Astyanax mexicanus: one gene and its partners. The protein of the gene in region 3 purifies or fractionates together with the protein of the main gene of each other region. This does not show direct contact. Links are inferred from orthologs where the notes say so. Each region holds a gene or a part of one and is shown on either strand. Other genes may lie near its edges. The genes, in order: ago3b, ago1 and trinucleotide repeat-containing gene 6A protein.

The links.
Region 1: the proteins of trinucleotide repeat-containing gene 6A protein (region 3) and ago3b purify together in Homo sapiens (affinity purification with mass spectrometry; 7 studies listed by BioGRID and IntAct, with this or other methods). This does not show direct contact. The link is inferred for Astyanax mexicanus from reciprocal best matches to the Homo sapiens genes TNRC6A and AGO3.
Region 2: the proteins of trinucleotide repeat-containing gene 6A protein (region 3) and ago1 purify together in Homo sapiens (affinity purification with mass spectrometry; 10 studies listed by BioGRID and IntAct, with this or other methods). This does not show direct contact. The link is inferred for Astyanax mexicanus from reciprocal best matches to the Homo sapiens genes TNRC6A and AGO1.

The regions. Positions count from the first base shown.
Region 1 is NC_064410.1:30,428,287-30,435,849, forward strand, and holds the start of ago3b (protein argonaute-3), read left to right. Parts: upstream 1-4,507; 5' UTR 4,508-5,180; coding exon 5,181-5,199; intron 5,200-7,563. Other genes in the region: olah (S-acyl fatty acid synthase thioesterase, medium chain), read right to left, coding at 776-945, 1,130-1,229, 1,551-1,689, 2,508-2,642, 2,890-2,896.
Region 2 is NC_064408.1:119,808,389-119,816,031, reverse strand, and holds the start of ago1 (protein argonaute-1), read right to left. Parts: upstream 3,166-7,643; 5' UTR 3,040-3,165; coding exon 3,015-3,039; intron 1-3,014.
Region 3 is NC_064426.1:13,559,634-13,567,223, reverse strand, and holds the start of trinucleotide repeat-containing gene 6A protein, read right to left. Parts: upstream 3,302-7,590; 5' UTR 3,140-3,301; intron 1-3,139.

The DNA of each region.
Region 1 (7,563 bases), on a different chromosome or scaffold from region 3:
GGTGTATGAATTTTACCAGTCAGGTTGTAAGGAGCAGCAAAACTACTGTGCTGAAGTAAAGAGTTATACAGGCGTTTTAGTTTAGTTCTCCAGCAGTATTAGCATTACCCGCTAAGCGCTAGCCATTTGGCTGCTCAGAGGTGAGTATTATCTTGTATCTTATTAGCTTGTAGTCTGCTGCTAACCTCGGCCAACACTGCTTGAGCAGCATTAGCATTACCTGCTAAACATGCTAGATATTTTTACTGCTAACTGATATGGCCCTGGCTTACTGGAACACTCAAGGTTCCTCAGTGTAGCTCTGTCGTGCAGCAGTTAGGCAGCATTAGTTAGTTCCAGCATTAGTGGAAATCTGTAAATCTCTTAAATTAACTCCCAAATTAACAGTTTTTAGGAGAGAAATCTGTGTAGATTTACATCCAGCACTCGTTTGACTTGTCTGACTCGTATGAAAATGTTTTTTTTTTTAAGAATTACAGTTTCTTTTACTTTACATATCATAGCTTTACCGGTCTCCCCACCCAGCGGCAAGACCTGCTGAATTAGAAGGGAAATGTGGAGACACCCCTGTTTCTAAGAAATGCTGCTTAAAATGCTCCTTATAATCTGGTGCATCTTGTGTATGAAAATAGATATTTATTGATAGTGTGCCTTATAATCTGGTGCACCTTATAGTGCAAAAAATACAATACTAAAAATGTGTTAGTGAAATTGTGTTACAAGAAATATATTAATTATATAAAAACTCATATGCAGTTAATTGCATTCCACCAACCTGTAATTCTCCACTACACCGAGGTCCGCCTTCAAAGCTGGCAGGAACAGCTTCAGCACTTCAGGATTGGCCAATATTTCAGGAGGAGTTCCTCCAATCGAGGTCATCCACTGAAGGAATTCTTCATCAGACAGTTGGCTTCTCCGTGGGGCTTGTAATCTGGTTTCAGACTGACAGAGAGGATTAATTGTTTTAGCTAAAAAGTTATTGTAAATGTTTCTTTACACATTTACATGTTTTAATTAAAAAACATGTAATGATTTACCAGCAGATAAGTCATACCACTTTACAATAACTTATATTATGCCACTGTTCTCTTTGAAATCACTACTGCAGTGAACAAACTGTACTTACATAAGGCGCAGAAGCTCCAGAGAGAAACACATGGACTGGTTCAAGATTGTGAACTTTTTTCACATACTCGGCAAAGGCATAGCTGGTCATAGCACCAAAACTGGGGAAAAGGAACCACAATGAGATGAGAAACCACAAAGTGCCTGAAGTAAAATACATGAAATTTAATGCGTTTTTAAAAAACTTTTTTTAAATCATTGATGAAATCTGTTGAAAACATTATAAACAGTGTTGTTGCATTTTGCCAAATAATGCAAACAACACAAAGTTTCCCAAACAAATTATGAAAGAAAAATATTTCCTATAGGAAATTTGGTTTCCATTTTTGCTAGCACCAAAATGTTGTTTTTGATCCCAGAGAACAAAAAACTTTACATTCATTTGTGAAGTAGATGTGAGATATAACTTTTTTAGCACCAACCTGTGTCCAAAGAGAGCAAATGGTTTCTCCTTGAGTTCTGGCAAAAGCACACTGATGACCTCATCGAGGATCTGCTGCATGTGCTGGAAGAATGGTTCTTTAGCTCGGCTCTCCCTGCCGGGCAGTCTGACTGAATACACTGCATATCACAAAGAACAAAAAGAGGAGCAATAACACAAGCAGCAAAAAGCACCAACTGTCAGAGCGCAGACACATAATGTATCAACATACTTTAATATCCATTTAATTTGCATACATTAAACGCTTACAGCACCATCTCAGAAAAAGTTTTGAGAATGTGGAAAAGTGCATAAGAAAAAGACAAATCTTTAAATACTCTAAGATCTTATATAAACAACAGCCTATTTGCATAAGTGACAGAGCCCTTAAGCAGATCATTCTGAAAGGGGCTGAATCTGGCATAGAACTGGAATAGAGCTGGTGAGGCTCTTTATGTGAGAGTGATTTAAATAAAGATGGTTTAAATGTTGTTTTTCTATCATCAATCTTAAAAATATGTAAAGTAACAAAAAAAATCAATGTTTACTTATAATGTTCTTCTTAAGTAATAAGAATGGTGGTGTACAAACCAGTGCCAAAGAAACATTTTTTTTTGTTTTATAGCTATAAAACAGAAGCAGGAACTGTGATCATTTTTCTTATTTTTCTTACTTATGAAATGTAAAACAAATTTCACAGTTCACAGATTGAAATGCTGGGAACAGTGGATGAGGGGCCTTCAAACACCAGAAAATGCTATAAAAGCATCTAATATCTGATAAAACATCCTGATCATTTTATCATTTAATGTTGAAAATATAATACTTAATGGTCCTTCAAATCATTTAAGCATTGTAGAAATAAATCCACATGATCTCACTTTGATTTTGTTGCCAATATATATATATAAATACAGCACAATAATACACAGTAAAGGTCAGTGTAGCGGAGAAGTACCTTCAACAGAGGAGTTGAGGAGTCTCCCCCAGCGTGCGTAGTGGATGGAGCCTCCACCTGCCCAGGGGAAGCAGATCAGTCTGACCACAGCGTCCGGCCTCCTGCTGAAGCAGCTAATGACTTTATCCATCCCAGCTACAATTAAACAGAGTTAGAGCTACTGGTGATTAAAAAATAACAATACCATCCTTCTGAACTAGGAACCAGTCTACAGCTGAGTAAGGTTATTTACATGAGACTCCAAGTCCAAGTACAAAATAGCAATAAATAACCTAGATAACAGTCTAGGTTTATAAGCTCCACTGTTTCATAACTGTTTGTTTAAATATACCACTGATAAATATGTCTACTGACACTTCAGAATAAAGAGCAAACTATTCACCTGCCATTTAAAGACATTACACTGTAGTACATTACACTGTAGCCCGTCCAATCACTGTAACGTTCCCTGGAACAGATCCCTGAGGTGCCTTCAACACCACCCAGTCTTTACTTCAGTTCATATCAGTTTCAACCCTGGAACACAAACAAAATAAACGATTTAACTTTTTATCTCTAAATAATGAGGGTGTATACCGCTGTTCTGCTTAAACAGAACCAGGAGCATTTAAACTCTAAACTCTAAACGCAGCTGAACGTTTCATACACACACATGTTGAAGGTGCGCTTCTTCAGTCTTTACTTCAGTTCATATCAGTTTCAACCCTGGAACACAAACAAAATAAACGATTTAACTTTTTATCTCTAAATAATGAGGGTGTATACCGCTGTTCTGCTTAAACAGAACCAGGAGCATTTAAACTCTAAACTCTAAACGCAGCTGAACGTTTCATACACACACATGTTGAAGGTGCGCTTCTTCAGTTTCTTCTGTGGTGAGCTCAGTTAAATCCAGAGCGCAATGCTGCCATCTTCAGACCACTGTGCTAAAACAGCCACCAGACTTTTGAGACTTTTACAGATTTTACCTGGAGTGTTTTCCTTTCTTCTATATTTAATTAATCAATTAATCAATCACATACATGTATTTTCACTCTGAGGTACACTGAGGTACATTTTCAATGCAGCTGAGCATTTACAATAGAAAAATTTAAATATAATATGAAACCACCGCATACAAACACAACATGGAATAAAATAAGCAAGGTAAAACATTGAAAAAATAAGCATAACTAAGGTTAGATAGCAAAATAATCATTTAATTTAATAATAATAATCAAAATAAATAATATATATATATTTTTAAATAAGAAAAGAAAACATTTTAACATTAGACAAGAAAACTAAAATAAAGCCAAAACTAACCATTAAATTAACATAAAAAAACAATATGGCATAATGTTTCCCACAGGAATCAAACCATATTTTGGTTATTGCACTATTCCATACCATACCTTATTTTATATTATTTTTATTATTATATTTTTTTTATTTGTATTATAATATAATGTTGCAAGGCATATCTATATCCAAAACAATGAGGCGTACAAGTGGGTCATAAATAAAAATCTATATACGCGCAATAATACGTAAAGAAGTATATTTGGTTGTTTATATTCTTATTTTATTCTTACAATCTTGTTGTAAGCTTACTAAAACGTGTTTTCTTCTAATGAGCTTGTTATCAATTATCAACCAAAAAAAACAACAAAACTTTATTTTCTCTCCAAAAATATATTTCATGCCTTTTGAGGGTTAAGACAATAATAATATTAATAATAATAAGAAGAATATGTTTTAATCTATAATGAAAAAATGAATAAATTTGAAGAAAAAAATCGTTATTATAGGAAAGCTGGGTAGTGGAGGTGGTTATAAAATAAAATTGCAGCGAATTGAGCTTCAATGTTTTTCTGTTGTGACTAAAACAGAATTTCAGAAACTTAATTATATTATTATTTATGTTCTTTAATGAATTAAGTCTCAGACGTGGATCAGAAATGAATGACATGGTTGCAGGATGTGACGGCGCTTCCTGCCGTTGGTATTTCCTGTGGTCCCCCTCCCTCAGCCCGGCGGTGGAGAGAGAGATGGTGAACCGGTTACAGGAGCGGAGAGAGTCGGAGAGACGAACCGGTGAACCAGCGAGAAAAACAGCCCGGAGCTGAACCTCTGCTGCGGTGCTGAGTGTTTTATTATAGAAGGACGAATTTTAACTGGTTTTAGACTGTAATAAACTGTGGCTGAGTGGAGGTTGGAGGTTTTAGTGAGTTTTATCGAGTGTCAGACAGAAGCTGCTGCTCTGGTTCGAGTTGAGAAGAAGGGAAAAGCTGTTTCTCGCTCTCGGGAGTTTTTACGAGGAGTTGGTTCGGTTGTCAGCTGGGAGTAATTAACGCTACTGAGTCCCGGTGAACGGAGGGAGCTACTGAAGGAGGCGAAGGACACGGCGGGGAGGCTGTCTTTAACCTAACTAACGATAAACACCGAGAACCGAATGAAGCTAAGGCCGAGCTGACCCTCAGGGACGGGACGGTCTCATCAGCCGCAGCGGAGACCGGCGACCGCGGCCGGGGCGAGGAGGACAGAGAGGTAGCCGTTAGCCGAGCTCCAGCAGCTCCAGCGGCCCCACAGCGGCTCCGCGGAGACCCTACAGCACCACTACTACCACCACCCGTAAGCCGGGCACCAGCTCTGGAAAGCCGGCTGACTGGAATCCGGGCAGAGACCTCATGAATGGAAATCGGTACTACAGGTAGGTTTACGAGCTTCTCCCGGAGCGTGACCCCAGCTGGGGACCCGGCTGGGTGGGGTTAACCAGCAGGTGAAATAACTGGTTAACTAACTAGTCAGGTCAGATAGTTACAGGAGGGTCTTCTGAGGGGACTGTGGGGCTCGTTCAGGGGTCCGTATGCACTGTGTCTCGACCCCTCAGTGTTGTGTCGATTTTAGCAACCTTGTCAAACTATGCTACCCTAGTGTATATTTAAAGGTAAAATACGAAATATTAGAACATGCTCGCAGTAAACGTGTCGGTATGATATTTGAATAGCCTACTCGGTGTATTAAGGTAAAGTTAAGGCAATATAAGTGATCAGAAACAGTTTTATACATTTTTTTTTAATCATTTTTATCTATATTTTTATCATACATTTTTACACGGTTGTAACACTCGAGCTAACGATGACAGTAAGTCCAGATTGTACACTGCACCTGAGATTTTTTTAAATATCAGGAAAAACACAGGAAAACAGTTAAATCGAGAGTTTAGCGCATGCACAGAACCGCTTAGTAGCACAAATCGACGGGTAGCACAACTCGACAGTACACCCCCCGGCTCCCTGTAACTTAAGTAACGCTAACTTAACTAACCCAGCTAACAGTTGTTTTAAGCCGTTTAGCAGCTGTTTAAGTTGTTTAGTTGTAGATTAGAAGTCGTTATTCTGGAGGTTTATGCAGGCTCGGCTGTCTGGTGGTCGATTGGAGGCGGTTTGAGGGTTTTTACCCACTCGCGGTTTCCACGTCACGGCGCTGCGACTCGCCTGTCACGCACAGGTGGCGTGGAGATCAGGTGCTGCTGCGTGAGCTGCTTGTGTGTGAGTGAGAGAGATATTGTGTGTATTTATTACTTTGTGAGGACCAGACGCCCCATAACTAACAGGAACGCACAGGAATCCTAAAGTCGTGGGGGACACCTGTAGTAATGCAGTACAACACAGCATTACAGTAAGCCTTCCCCAAAAACGATAGTAATACAAACCTATGTATCTGTGTGTGTAAAAGTGAGAGAGAGAGAAATTAAAAGAAAGAGAGAGAGATTTTGTGTATTTATCACTTTCTGAATGCCAATTGCCCAATAACTGCCCCACACGGGAATTCTAACGTCGTGGGGACATATGTAGTAAAACAATACAGCAGCATTACAATAAGCCTTCCCCACAAAGATAGTAATACAAACTCGCGAGAGTGTGTGTGGTCACAGAGGGGAGAGTGGGGGAGGCCTCCCGTTGTCATGGTGACTGAGTTACTGGTTGCTGTGTCACTGGTGACTGCTTTCCCACAACTGGTTTAACTGGAAAACATTAGAAATCAGACCCAAACTGATATACCAGTAAAGAATTACCTGTGACCAGTTGCTCACAGATGATCAGATTAGTAGTGTGTGGTTCTAGGTTTCTGTAAGTGTCTAGTCTGCACGTGGTTTACAGGTCAGCAGTGCCAGAAGATCAGTCAGTTCCCTGCTGTTAAAATCAGATGTATGGTTTTGCTAATTTCTTGTCTTAATATTTGAAGAGTTCATTTGCAAAAATGGATAAAGCTATGTTTAAAGGATAGCATCTATCTATTTGTTTGTGCAAATTAACTCTTAATTTCTTTAATGTGATCTATATCTTTTCATCACTGCTTGTAATGCTAACCATACACTAGACGACTTCAAAAACACTCTGAAAACACTTTTAATAGACTAAAGTCTGACACCCTCTCACGTCTAAAGACAAGTTACAGACTTTTTAGTCACAGATGGCAAAGACTGGGGATCTTGAAGGGTCACTATTTGCAAGACTGCAACTAGATTCTTTCAGAGTTTATTTTATTATGTTTTACTACTATTTTTATTAATATTATTATTATAAGTAGGAAATGTGTTAAAGAGACACTCTTGCTCACTACACAGCTCCACCAGTTTCTCCTACTTTTGTATACTCTAGGAGAACTGTGGTTTCCGAGCCATCACTGGAGTCTCATCCATTTCATGTTCCGCAAACCTCCCTACGCTTGCCTTGTGGCTTTCCGTAGCCCTCCTATTGGTTGTTGACATTGACATTGTTCACTTATGATAATATTAAACACGGTTGATTTTAGCTCAGTTAAACCACAACCCATATGGCCACCTCATTGTATGACCGTCATAATGTCATAAATGTATTGTACAATATATGGATGAATATGACCTGGATGGTAATTTTTCTGTCCCTAATTTTGTTTATTATGCATTTTTTAGCAAGGAGAGCCCATTAATGTGAATGAGCTGATTTGCTAACTCTTTAAACTCTGTTTATCAAACTTGTCAGAGTAAGAATGCTGATGCAGGATCAGCAAAAGTTTACTGAATTCTATT
Region 2 (7,643 bases), on a different chromosome or scaffold from region 3:
TAGCTAAGACATAAAGTGTGACATATTTTGGTTGAATTTGACATAAACCAGAAGTAAATTGCTGTAAAAGTCAGTTGTTGAAACTGTGAAGTCTTTAGCTTTTTTTTTTTTTTTTTAAGTACGAAATTTAACTGGAATGAAGTCAACTTGACTGTGATGTTATTACCAATACCAATGACATCTGAGGTAAATTAAACTCAGTATTAATCCATCTGAATAGGGCTTTCATTAGCTGTTGTGCGTTGTTGTGCATTATGACATATAATTACATAACCAAGAGTATGACTTCTATTAGCTTTTTTTTCCATTTTAAATAAAAAACAACTGCAACACACAACACACACCAAAACATGTACCAATATTGCTTCTTTAGAAATAAAAAAAAATACTGAATTACCAATACCACTAAGTACAATTACTTTTTACACCAATTTTACCCAATGACAAAACAAATATAACAGAAAACAGTACCTGTATGATAGGTCACTGATAATTATGTGATCAAATTTTGGTTAATAACAATGTTATTCCTGGCCCTGCCTACCTGCATTTAGCAAAGCATGTTTTCTTTAATAAAGTACAACAGTTACTAGTTTGTATTATTTCAACTGTGGCTTTTTGGCTTTTCCAACTGAAACTAAACTCATGGGTATCATGTAAATGCCTTGCTACATTAGATTTCTTGGAGTGAATCAAAGCACACTGACAGAGAAGGGTCCGCACCCCATCCAATTACATCATGAAATTTACACTCTGACAGAGGTCAACTCTGAGCCCAAAGACAATTGTCATCAAAACCCCACAACCCCAACACAGCTGGTTATCAGTGTAGAGTTACCTCTGTCCCAATGATGCCCTCAAGCTGGCAATACAGACATCTCCACTAAGTTAGCAGACAAATATTCCAAGAAAGTCCAAGAAAGGCAATTTAAGAACAAGAAATATTAGACAGACCTGTCTACCAAAAGATCATCAGGATATTTGGTCAGACTCTGGTGTAGTGGGGCACTACTCTACTGTGCAGTGATATTTGCACAAATATGACTGTTATTGAACTATGTGAATCAGGAAACACTCCAATAATGACATAAACATGATTAAGGGCCTAAGAAACTTCTTTCTTGAGACCTCTATATTAATAGAATTAATATGACCCTTATTGAACTATGTGAATCAGAACACACAGTAATGATAACAACAACCACAACAGTAGGATTGAAGGACCAAGAAATGTCTTTAAGACCTCTAGCTTTAAAAGAATTAAACAAAAGGCATTTTAAGATCAAGAAAACTATTAGACAGACTTGTCTACCTAAAGATTTTCAAAATAACTGATCAGGCTTTAGTGTAGTGGTGCACTATTCTACTGTGCAGGGATATTTGCTCAAATATAACCATTATTGAACCATGTGAAGCAGAACACATGCAACAATAATAACAACATGATTAAAGACCCAAGAAACTTCTTTCGTGAGACTTATAGCTATAAAAGAATTAAACGAAAGGCATTTAAGACCACGAAAACTATTAGTCTTGTCTACCAAAAGATCTTCAGGGTAACTGATCAGACTCTGTTTTAGTGGTGCACTATTCTACTGTGCAGTGATATTAGCTTAAATATAACCGTTATTGAACCATGTGAAGCAGAACACATGCAATAACAATAACATGATTAAAGACCCAACAAACTTCTTTCGTGAGACTTCTAGCTATAAAAGAATTAAACGAAAGACAAATTAAGGCCAAGAAAACTATTAGACAGACTTCTGTACCAAAAGATCTTAAGGATATTTAATCAGACCAAAAAAAACTTTCAGACAAACTTGTCTAACAAGAAATCTTGAGGGTAATTAATCGGACTCTGGTGTTGTGGTGTGCCCTACTCTACTGTGTAGGGATATTTGCACAAATATGGCTGTTATTAAATCATGGGAAGCAGAACACACTCCAATAAAAACAACAACAAGCTTAAGAAACTTTCTTGAGCCCTTTAGCTATAAAGGAATCAAACAAACAGCATTTTAAGATCAAGTAAACTATTAGACAGACTTGTCTACCAAAAGATTTTCAAAATAACTGATCAGGCTTTGGTGTAGTGGTGCCCTACTCTACTTGATATTACATTGATATTGATATTTGCACAAATATGACTGTTATTGAACTTTGTGAAGTAGAACACACTCCAAAAAATTACGATTAAAAGCCCAAAACACTTATTTTATGAGACTTCTAGCTATAAAAGAATTAAAGGAAAGACAATCTAAGACCAAGAAAACTATTAGACAGACTTGTCTACCAAAAGATCTTCAGAATATTTTATTCTTGCGACTCTGTTGTAGTGGTGTGCACTATTCTACTCTGCAGTTGAACTATGTGAAGCAGAACACACTCTAATAAAAACATCATGATTGATGATGAAACTTCTTTTTTGAGACCTCTAACTATAAAAGAATTAATCAATCCATCAACAAGCTTACATAGTTAGGCACTAGTAAAACTGGGACTAGAACAGACTAAGAAAGGCTGACATTATTTATGAGTCAAGCAGCAAGAACCACACATCTGGGCTTGGGGGCTGATCAGAAAGGGCAAAGCCATAAATTTACCATAATCAATAATCATTGTGGGATGTTGGATGGGGGGTGGGGTTGGACCATCTGCATGTGGACAAGGCCTCTTCACTAAAGATTCCCACGACCCTACTGCCTCCTGACCCCTGCAACACATTCCCTTCCACCTACCATTCCCATCCCCAGATTTTTCAACCAATTTTTCAATGCTTGATCAAGCATGAGCCAAATGCAATTTTGCACAATATTCATATTTATTGAGAATAATGAAGGAAAGCACAAATTTTGGGGGGTTGCTCCACCTTGGATGGACCACCCATGCTTCTTAGATGGAGCTATAAGCTTCTACCAAGAAAACATACTTAAACAAACCCAATAATTATGAGAATTGATCAAAAATGAACATTTCCACCAAAAGCCAAGCCAAACCAGGCATCCACTCACCAGCGCCAGATGCTCCCGGCTCCATCCCATCCACTTAGGCGCGCCGTCTCAACGCAAGCCCCGGGGCTCCACCACCACCACCACGGCCGGCCCTCGCCTCTACAGCCTGCTTTCCCCGCCGTGGAAAGCGCCTCTTTCCTGGCTAAAAAAATAAAGAAAACCAACCCACCCCCCTGCCCCTTTTGCCCCCCCCTTGCCCCTACCCTCTACCCTAGCTGGAAGCCCACCCCCAGTCCCCCCGAGTCCTCCCCCCAGCTCCTGGACCCCGCAGAGCCGGGGAGACAATAGCAGCTCTGGCCGTGCTCCTCCGCTCCGCTCCGGTCTTTCCAGCGGGGCTGGCTGCGGCGCCAAGCCGGGGCTCCGCGCTCCAAGTCCCGCTTGGCCGGATTCCTCTCCCCGCTTTGGTTGTGGGTCTCCCTCCTCTTTTCTTTCCCTCCTTTCCCTTCGTTTCTCTCTCTCTCCCTCCCTCTCTCTCTCGGCGTGTCTGGGTCCTGCTCACCGTTCAAGCAGGATTCTCCAGAGTAGGAGCAGACCCCCCAAAAAAAACAAACAAAAAAAAAAATCCCACCACGGACAGCCGAGGAGAGAGGGCCGCCTTCTTCGCCTCCTCCTCCCGCTCACAGCGCCTCCTGTGCGGGGCAGCTGCTTTGTGCGGCCGCCCTCTAGCGAGCGGTGGTTGGGGACCGTTGGGGGGAAAGGTTCACACACTGCTTCACACTGCAATGAGCGTTGAACTCGTTAACCTCGAAAAATCTATTTATATATCCAAGATTTACTAGTATTCTTGATATACATGAATTATACTAAATGAGCTATTTACACAGGAGTGCAAAAGTTTGGGTTGAAAACAAAACTGCTTAAAGCATCACATTCTTTACTCAGATTAGGGTATTAGGGTGCCATTTGCTTGTTGTAACTCAAATTAAGCTTATTTGTAATATTTTTTTCAACTCTAATAACACATGTATTTAACTATTTAAAACATGTACTGGTAAAACTTTTTTTTTTCAGATTTACTTAATTGTTTACAAGGTTTCTAAGCTAAAGGTGATTACAAAACTTATGTGACATTTAAAAAGCATGTTTAAAAGCAAGTCCACTAATTCCTTTGATTCTCTCTCAAGAAAGATTATATATTAAAGAAATGGTTGACTGCATGTTCAAATAGATATTTTTTATGACAAAAAAATCAATCCTATTAATGGCACTGATTCCTATTACTTTTTTATGTTTTGAGTTATCATAGAATTAGCAAAAACAAGAAAAATAGCTAAATGGCGGCTATGCAAATAGCATAAGGACACTGAGCACATTTTAGTGATCTTCCCAAAATTTGTATTTTAAAAATAAACAAATAAGATTTAAGAATTATTTTAGATAACGGGACAGAGTGTTGAGATTGAGCTCCTTAGTCAAACAGAAATGACATACATTCGGTGGAATGGCCCATTAAATATTTTTGGTTTAAAAAATACTTCTGTAGACGTATTCTGACCCTAAACACTGCTCAAAATCTACTAAAACATTCATGCAGAGGATCAAGTACAATGTTCTGGAGTGATTATCTCAGTCCCCAGACATGAATACTATTAAAAATCTGTGCTGTGATTTAAAGCGAGCTGTTTATGATCAGAAACCATCAAACTTGACTGAACTGGAAATTATTTGTAAAGAAGAATGATCCAAAATACCTTCAGCCAGAAGCCAGACTCTTATTGGAAGATATAGGAAGTGTTTAGAGGCTGTTACTTCTGCAAAAGGAGGATTGTCTAAATATTGATGTATTTTTTCTGTTCAGGCCCAAATTTATGCACCTGCCTAATTTTGTTCAAAGATTTATTTCACACTTTCTGTAAATCCTATAAACTTAATTTCTCACCAGCCTGATCAGCATCACCAAGCTATTCCACCAGCCTGATCAGCTTCACCAAGCTATTCCACCAGCCTGATCAGCATCACCAAGCTATTCCACCAGCCTGACCAGCTATTCCACCAGCCTGATCAGCATCACCAAGCTATTCCACCAGCCTGATTAGCATCACCAAGCTATTCCACCAGCCTCATCAGCATCACCAAGCTATTCCACCAGCCTGATCCGCATCACCAAGCTATTCCACCAGCCTGATCAGCATCACCAGCTATTCCACCAGCCTGACCAGCTATTTCACCAGCCTGATCAGCATCACCAAGCTATTCCACCAGCCTGATCAGCATCACCAAGCTATTCCACCAGCCTGATCAGCATCATCAAGCTATTCCACCAGCCTGATCCGCATCACCAAGCTATTCCACCAGCCTGATCAGCATCACCAAGCTATTCCACCAGCCTGACCAGCTATTCCACCAGCCTGATCAGCATCACCAAGCTATTCCACCAGTCTGATCAGCATCACCAAGCTATTCCACCAGCCTGATCAGCATCACCAAGCTATTCCACCAGCCTGATCAGCATCATCAAGCTATTCCACCAGCCTGATCCGCATCACCAAGCTATTCCACCAGCCTGATCAGCATCACCAAGCTATTCCACCAGCCTGACCAGCTATTCCACCAGCCTGATCAGCATCACCAAGCTATTCCACCAGTCTGATCAGCATCACCAAGCTATTCCACCAGCCTGATCAGCATCACCAAGCTATTCCACCAGCCTCATCAGCATCACCAAGCTATTCCACCAGCCTGATTAGCATCACCAAGCTATTCCACCAGCCTCATCAGCATCACCAAGCTATTCCACCAGCCTCATCAGCATCACCAAGCTATTCCACCAGTCTGATCAGCATCACCAAGCTATTCCACCAGCCTGATTAGCATCACCAAGCTATTCCACCAGCCTCATCAGCATCACCAAGCTATTTCACCACAATGATCAGCATCACAAAGCTATTCCAACAGCCTGATCAGCTTCACCAAGCTATTCCACCAGCCTCATCAGCATCACCAAGCTATTTCACCAAAATGATCAGCATCACAAAGCTATTCCAACAGCCTGATCAGCTTCACCAAGCTATTCCACCAGTCTGATCAGCATCATCAAGCTGTTCCACCAGCCTGATCAGCACCACCAAGCTATTCCACCAGTCTAATCAGCATCATCAAGCTATTCCACCAGCCTGATCAGCATCACCAAGCTATTCCACCAGTCTGATCAGCATCTCCAAGCTATTCCACCTGCCTGATCAGAATCACCAAGCTATTCCACCAGCCTGATCAGCATCATCAAGCTATTCCATCAGCCTGATCAGCATCACCAAGCTATTCCACCAGCCTGATCAGCATCACCAAGCTATTCGAATTTTCAATTTTAGGGCACATAGCACAAAAAGTAAGAACATTTCTGTTTGGTAGATTATTTCAATTTGTAACAATGCTTCCTGACCATAATACCAATGAAAAAGTCTGTTAATTTCTCTTTTGAATTATGTCACCTTTAAAAGGAACATATATTCGACTGATGAGCAGCATAGCTGAGAATATGGGTTGTGCCCATGAAAAAATTGCCAAATCTTCTCTGTCATTGCCAAATAACTTATTATGCTGTTGCAATTAACACTTGTTTTTAGCTTCTGGTTCCTTCCAATTGGAAGCACCTGTGGGCATGGGCCATATGGGTTACAGTGGTCAGTAGGTGTCTGGCCTAAGAATTGGCATAATGCCACAGTTGACAGATCTTTATTAGCTACCTAGCTAAAACATTCCACACAATAAAGTAGTTAATGTTACCTAACCTAGCTGACTGTAAAAAAATAACTCAGCAAGGCAGATTATTGTAAGTCTTTGAAGTTGTCTGTTAGTTTAAACTATAGCTTGCTAGCTACAATTATCTCCTGTTTGCTACAGGTTTGCTTTTTAACTAGCTTGCATTAGCTAAGAAATCTAGCAATCTAGCTATCTACCTGATGGGTTTCTTAAACTGCAGTTAAGTTACCACTTGCCAAGATGTGACTATAGACACTATACACAAAAATAAGCAAAGAAGCATGTCTATGAGGCAGCTTCCCAGACAGTTCATATTCATAACCCCCCCTTCCATGATGAAAGTATGGAGGATTGCAAAGCATGTGCACAGTACAACATCTATGTAGTCTATGAAGTCATGTACTGGTGCTCACCACTTAGTATCTGGCGCTTACCACTTAGTATGTGGTACTCACCACTTAGTATGTGGTGCTCACCATTTAGTATTTGGTGCTCACCACTTAGTGTCTGGTGCTCACCACTTAATATCCGTTTTTCACCACTTAAGGCCAATTTATACTTCTGCATCAAACCTATGCCATGAGATTGGATGTGTTGGTTAAAGCTGCCCTGCCCTATAAAAACACACACCAGTTTTGAGTTTGCTGTATAAGAGGCATTGCTTGATTTGAAGCATGCCTCGCACAAAAGAGCTCTCAGAAGACCTACGTTCAAGAATTGTTGACCTACATGAAGCTGGAAAGGGTTACAAAATATCTCTAAAAGCCTTGATGTTCATGTGTCCACGGTAATACAGACAGTCTACAAATGGAGAAAGTTCAGCACTGTTGCTACTCTCCCTAGGCGTGGTAAAGGCCTGTAAAGATGACTGCAAGAGCACAGCGCAGAATTCAAGATTCAAGATTCAAGATTTTTATTGTCACGTCACAG
Region 3 (7,590 bases):
GTTAATGTGGTATCTAGCCCCACCCTTGATCACCCAATCAGCAATTGGTCAATTAAACTGAAAGATACACAAAAATGACAAATACACAAAACAGTCCATTTCTACTGTATGAAGTCTGAGTGCATATACATTAGCGATACTATATATTACAACACTTTCCAAATCAACAAATGAAGGGGATAAGGCCAGAAATTTTTTTTTACCACACATTTAGCTTTAATATGTTTTCATATTTTAAACCGAGGGATCTATTTTGGGCTTTTATTGTAACTTATCAGAAAACCAAAGATTGTCTGACAAACAGAGGAAACAAGTTGTTAGATGGAAAGTGTAGAACTTTGTTATGACAAGAAGAAATGCTGCAGAACCTGTTCTGACTATTCTACAGCGACCTAATTTAATTTTACTGAAATTAATCCTGTACGGTTAAACCTGCTGTGAAGCATAAATCTTACATAATATATAAAATATATTAAACAGTACATCTCAGTATTCTACTAAAAAGAGAATGCACTAGAAGTCTCAGAAAAACAAAAATTATGACAGCAGATTATATTAACTTTGCTTAATCTGAAAAGCATGCCATGATTAAATATATAAACACTGGTGACATTTAGTATCATTACACATTATTGATTATGTCCCATACTGAAGCAGATGTGATGCTAGTTTACTTAAAATGTGTATCATATTAATTATACTGAACATTGTTGCTGAACCTTTTTTCACAATATTGTGGATCTATTACTGTACAACCAAATATTGTATTGCACAGTGTAATAAGCATTGTTTAAAGCAGCAGTCCTGAAGATTTTACATTGTTTACTTTATTTTATTTTTAAAATGTCTAAGCAGGGGAGATAGCAAAATATAATAAATTGCATCAATCTGCTTTTGCTACCATTTTGGCAATGCCAAATGCATTTATTTTAAAAACAGTGTGTCTGTTAGGTCCCGGGACATTTTTCTGGCTACAAGTCTTAACTTAAGCAAATGCAGTGCTGCTAATAAGGATAATACAAGAGCTCATCATTAGAGAAAATTTATATAGATTAGAACTAAAGCAAGCTGGTGAAATAAAGGAGGGCAACAGACTCCTAACCAATCCAAATCACCAGATTCATCCACTCTGAAAAGGGAATGCACCACAATGCACACTTCAAAAGTACTTTTTAGTATGCAATTAGAAACACACAAAAACTTACAGGTCACATCTTATATATGTTTTATAATAACCACTGTACTATATATAGTTCACGTTCTTGATAGCAGAAATGAAATCCTACTACTGCATGTCAATAACAAGTGTATTGTAAAAAATACATACTGCCAACCTTATTATATTGTTCTTTGGTGGTGATTGTCTAGGATTGGACAGCACTAACAGGCACCAAAGTTAATCAATGGCAGACATGGACATCAGTAAGTGAAGTGTTTAGACAGTGTCTACATGGGAAATACCACATTGATTTTTGTAAAATCATAAAATGAACCAAATTAAACCCCTAAGGTGGTTCAACGCGATTTCATAACCAGGAGTAGGAGAGAAAATCTACAGCTACACCTCCCCCACCACAGACAAACCACGTTAAACCTGCTAACCGCTTACAGTCGCACACAACTACACAACACCCGGCTTCCATCACGAAATAACTGATTTTACTCCTGTTCTCGCAAAAAAAATAAAAAAGTATAATATTGTGGGATGACAGTTTGAATGCTGGAACCCTTACTGTTAGCTCTGCAGTGGACAAGCATTTATTTAAACGTTTTTTTTTAGCTCGCCTAGCTAAACAACACCGAATTATAATTACACATACTCACTCTCCTACATGAAGCTTACATTATACAAGATAGTACGCTTAACTCTACAACCAACACAAAATAGCTAAACTAAAACATGAGGAAAAACACTAAGGGCTTTAGCTCAGAAGCTAATATCAGCTAGCCTAGCTGCTAAGCTAACTACGTAGCTATTTAACATACGACTAAACCTAATAAGCCCACATACTATTTGCCTCAGTATCACATTTATTCGTTTATACTTAGTTAACTATTTATTTATCGGCATGCTTATGTAGATATCTGTGCTGTCAGCTACGTAACGCTAGCTAACCTGCATTAACCAAATAAAATGGCTTTCGGGGTCTGCGAAACTCTGATCTGATCTGTTGAAAACTGAGACCTAGGTTAGGTTAGTCCGCTAAGCTAGCTATTAAACAATGACCTGCTCTGTTTGTTTATAGCTCGTTAACTAGCTTGGAGCCATATATAATTTTATAGATTTAACATCGCTAAGCTAGGTTAGCGGTATAAACATAAGAATCTTTTAACACACTTCGCGTTCTTAAAAGCAAGTTATATAATAAACATATTTACAAAAGTAAGCTAATCAGTTAGCAAGGTTAACTAGTTAGTCAGTATTAAATTTAAGACCACAAAATACAGCCTTAGCAAACAAGATAACCACTTCGCATTTAGAGTCATTATTAAATAACTAGCTAAAGACTTATTTGTATCACTTATAAACTATTGTGTAGCTAGCTTAGATTTGTAACGAGGCAGAAACTCAAAAACATAACTGGCTAACGCTAGCTAGCTAAAGGTTAACGTTAGGTCTATTATTTATAACTCAAATCTTACGCCATTTTGTTCTGTAACATAAGCATGTAGTTGGACGAATATTTAAACTCAAATGTAAGAGCATTATCCAACGAATAATCAATTAGCTTTTTAATATCCAACAGCGTTAGAGGTTACAGCTGGGCTTCGCTTTTATAATTTTTCCGGTCCACCTTAAACGGAAAAGCAGCTCGCTAGCTTCATACGGGCACTTCAGACTATATAGTGTATCAGTGCCGCACCATTTAAGGTGGAACTGAACAACTCTAATAGGAGGTCCAACTTCGGCGTCGTAGTTCTGGCTTTTGAAGCCGCTTGACTAAGACGTTTCTGCAACACGCCGCCCGCAAAACACACATTACCCAAATGCACCGCGCTGTTTATGTTTATCACGGTTTTAACGGTCCCTGTAAACAACAGACGCCACCACGCGCAGCTCCACTCGAGCCCTTCGACTCCGCCGCGCGCTACATTACAGCAAACTGCGCCAAACAGCGAAAAGCGCGTTCAGCCTCACCTGTGTAGATTAAAGTGCGATGAGTAAAGTGTGGTGAAAGGCCTTCAGTGGATCAGCGATGAGTGTATTATTGATCTTTAAACCCGAGCTCGCGCTTAGCTCTCCTGCAGGATCACCGCTCCGCCCGCGCGGACATTTTCTCTCTCACTGCGCGCTCCCGCAGGAAGAGCTCAGCGGCGCGCGCGGCTGCCACTTCCGCTACGAAATGGCGCCACGGCGCAGAGCAGCAGGCGCATATCAGGAACATAAACAAACAAAATCCAGTTCAGCTCAATAATAACAGCTATACAACTAAAAAAACAAACAACTTAACACTAGTGATCTATCTACAGCGGTATGAAAAAGTTTGTGCACCTTCATTTTGATGATTTTCATTTTTAAATCATTGGTGTTCAGATCAGCAATTTCAGTTAAATTCATCATATAGGAGACAAACACAGTGATATTTAAGTTTATAGGATTTACAAAAAAAAATTACAATAATTATTTAAACAAAATAAGGCAGGTGCATACATTTGGGCACCCTTGTTGTTTTAGTGATTTGAATAGCTTTATCTCTAATAATTGAAACACTTGGCCAATTGCAAGTTTTTTTCCTTTTTGCATCTTCTCTGAAAAGTGGAAAAATGGGAGCCTCAAAACAACTCTTAAATGACCTGAAAACAAAGATTGTTCAACATCATGGTTTAGGGGAAGCATACAAAAAGCTCTGTCAGAGATTTCAGCTGTCAGTTACCCCTGTGAGGAACATAGTGAGGAAATGGAAGACCACACGCACAGTTCTAGTTAAGGCCTGAAGTGGCAGACCAAGAAACATCTCAGATAAGCAGAAGGATGTTGAGAATAGTCATAGTCAATCCACAGACCAGCTCCAGAGATTTCATTCTGTGGGGCAGTGTGATCAGTGCAGGTACTGGGAATCTTGTTAAAGTTGAGGGGTGCATTATTCCAGTCAATATCAGCAGATTATTAAGAACAATGTTCACAGATCAGGAACGAAGCTGAAGCTGTGCTGGGGCTGGATACTTCAACTTGACAACGACCCTAAACACTGCTCAAAGTCTATTAAAGCACTCATACAGAGGAACAAGTAGAACTTTTTGGATAACTCAAAGATCTTCAAATTGGATATTTACTGCACGGGTGATTATGTTTCAGCTGACAAGTTATTGAATTCTAACTAATGCAATGAGAAGCTTTTCATTTGTTAAACTCATTTTGTGTCCTTGAAAATATGTTTGTCTGTTTCAGAAGAGTCAAATTATCCGAAAATATTAAATTATGGTAATTGGCGATCACTTTAACTTTGTGGTACAAAAACAATACCAGAGATATGTTTAAAAGTGAAGGTAAGAGCATTTTCACAAGCACAATGTGAAGGGAATTCAAGGGATTGGGGCTAATCAGCTGTGTAGCTTTAAGATAACCACTTACCAGTGAGACTAATCGACAAAAACAACTTCAATTTGCTAAGGAGCATAAAGATTGGAATCTGGAGCGATGGAAGGAGAACATGTGCTTTGAGGAATCATGATTTACCCTGTTCTAGAGTGATGGGTGCATCAGGGTTCGGAAAGAGGTGGCTAAAGTAATGCACCCATCATAGTGCATGTCACAGAATCCAGACCTGAACCTTATTGAGAATTTTTGGGATGTGCCGGAGAAGACTTTGCACAGTGGTCAAAATCTCCCATCATCAATACCAGATCTTGGGGAAAACTATTGTTGTAACATTGCAGAGGTGTGTGGAAAAAATGCGATAGAGTACAGTATGCATACTGTAATTTAATCAAAGCTAAAGGAATCCATGTATTTATTTATCTCAGTCCATCTCTTTGCAAGCTGTTTGTTTTTTTTATTTATAGTGATCAAGCTACATTTCAGCAAATTACAAAAGCAGTATGAATGTTTCAAACAGCATATAGATAAATTCAACAGAGTAAATAAATGGCAGCTCTGAAACAAAATGTGCATTCATACTCTGACTGCTGTGTGAAGCATTTTAGACAAAATTCACTTTTAAAATGATTTCAGAAGCTGTGTATAGATACCCTCTTCTTTAAACAAAAGTTCCCTCAGGTATTTCTGCTCCCAGCTGCCTGTGATGCTGTATCTGTTTGCTTACATCCGTAAATGTGTTTAGCTCTGTGCAGCAGTCTGCTATGAATGCTGGCCAAATAGAAAGAGTTTAGCCGTCTGTGGACTGAGAAAACCCTAAACAAATCAGGAACAATGTAAACACTGTCCGGTCTGCCCGCAGGAATGTGCCTACGCTTTCACTTTGTACACAAAGCACCAGCACACGGGCAAAAACTGACCTGCAGCCTCCACTCTGGGGGCCTTTTAAAGACAGTCATTCTGCCTCATTGGACACTGCACAAACACACGCACACACAAATACACCATACAATTCAAGCTAATTACTGTCAAATATTTCCTTATTGGAAACCCATTTAATATAGTCATTTAGCCTAAACTATACAGCCTACAGTAGCCTACATATACAGCCTTAGCCATTGAACCTATCGCAGATTAGTCCCAGCAATTTGGCCTACAACATTTTATTCCTGTGTGATTAAAGCTCATACTGTAGCACATAAGAGTAGCAGAATAAAATGAACAAGAACATATTTATTTACCACAGAATGTGATAGAGGCGAGTTTTGAAAAGCCCATTCATTTTGCTATAGACAAATACAGCTTAGACACAAACCCCCAAGTGTTGGAAATTCCCTGGGAGCAGGTAAACTACATAGACCATAATTCTTTGCAGCAGGATAAGGCGGGGCTTAGAGGTTAAAATGGCACTGTCGGCCATTTTTTTATTTCTTTGTTTGGCATGGTCTGAGAATTTGAACCTCTTTTGGATTGTGGACTGAGCTTCCAATGGATGTGTGTTTGTGTAAGTTTTCTGATTTATTACTTAATTCATTTATGTTAACTTGTCCAATTTGATTGTGATTGGGTTTATTGTTTGCTCACTTGGTTTGTTGTTCCTTTTGTTGCACTATTTGTATTGTTTTACTGATCCTTGTATTTTGTTTATTTGTAGATAAAACCATCCATCCTGTGTATCCATCCTGTAGATACAACCATCCTGTATAATCTCTCCATTCTCCCTACATCATCTTCCTTCCTCCATCCATCCTTTCCTCAGCCATGCATTAACTGTCCATTCATGCACCTGCTCTGCCTCATTGTGAAATATGCTGTGACTCTGAGAATAAACTGCATCAGTTGAAGTCTGTTCATCCTCCTGTGTTTTAATGGACACACCATCACGCCAGCCACCCTTCCACTAAATGCAATCCAACTAAACTTTACATGGTGCCGAAACCCGGGATTGGCAGTTATGATGGATACAGATCAAGAGAACAGACGATCCACACGGCAGAGAAGGCCTCCAACCCATCTTCAGCAATATCACGTCGAGTCAGTGGGCTTTGGAAAGCCACAGGAACCCTGCACCACTAATCCAAGGCCTTTAGCTACCTATCTTAAACCTGGAGGTAGAGGGATCCCGAATCCTGCCTCAGCACAACAACAATCTGACCTCAAGGAACTACATACTAGGTATGCAGCCTGAAAGAGACAATAAAACTACTTGATCGTATGGGATCCCTGCATATTTGTAACAGGGACTCTGAATCAGTAAATGTTTCTGAAGATTGCATTAGCTCTGATGATGACTTTGATGTTGATTACTCCCAACCTGTACAAAGACCTCACAGTTGTGTAGAATTTCAATGTTCTATACCTGAAGAGAACAGAGCTAGAAGTTCATGTTCAGCCCCATCTAGATTAGCTTTACCCCATCCTGCCTCCCAATCTAGTTCTTTACAGCCTCAGCCTTTGATTGCACCCCAGTCTAGTGTTGTGCCTACTCATAATCCCCAGCCTAGGCCTCAGCCCCTTCAACCTTATCCTGCCTTTCCATCTAGTTCTGTACAGCCTCAGGTTTCCTCTCAGTCTGGTGTTTTTCCTCCTCATATCACTCAGTCTAGCTCCCAGTCCAGCTCCCAGCCTCCTCAGCCTTATCCTGCCTCCCCATCTAGTTATTTACAGTCTCAGCCCCAGGCCCAACTCTATTATCTGTGCATGCAAGATCTCAATCCTGCCCATACTGTAAAAGTCAGGAGCATAGCTTGACATACTGTTCCCAAGTTGGACTACTAAGCCCAAGTAATTTGAAGGAATGGATTAGAAGCAACGGATTATGTTGGCGATGTGCAAAACACCATCAAGCTGAGGAATGTAACCTTAAGAAACCCTGCCCAAAATGTCAGGGTCCACACCTTGGTGTTCTTCATGAAGCAAACAGGAAAACGGATGATTTAGTCCCTCAGCATTCGTCCTCCAAGGTACTCTACCTGAACCCATCAAGCTATTCCCCCAAAGTGCTTCTGAAGATGGTAAAGGTCATTCTGAGTTACAAAGGTCAGTCTTGCCAT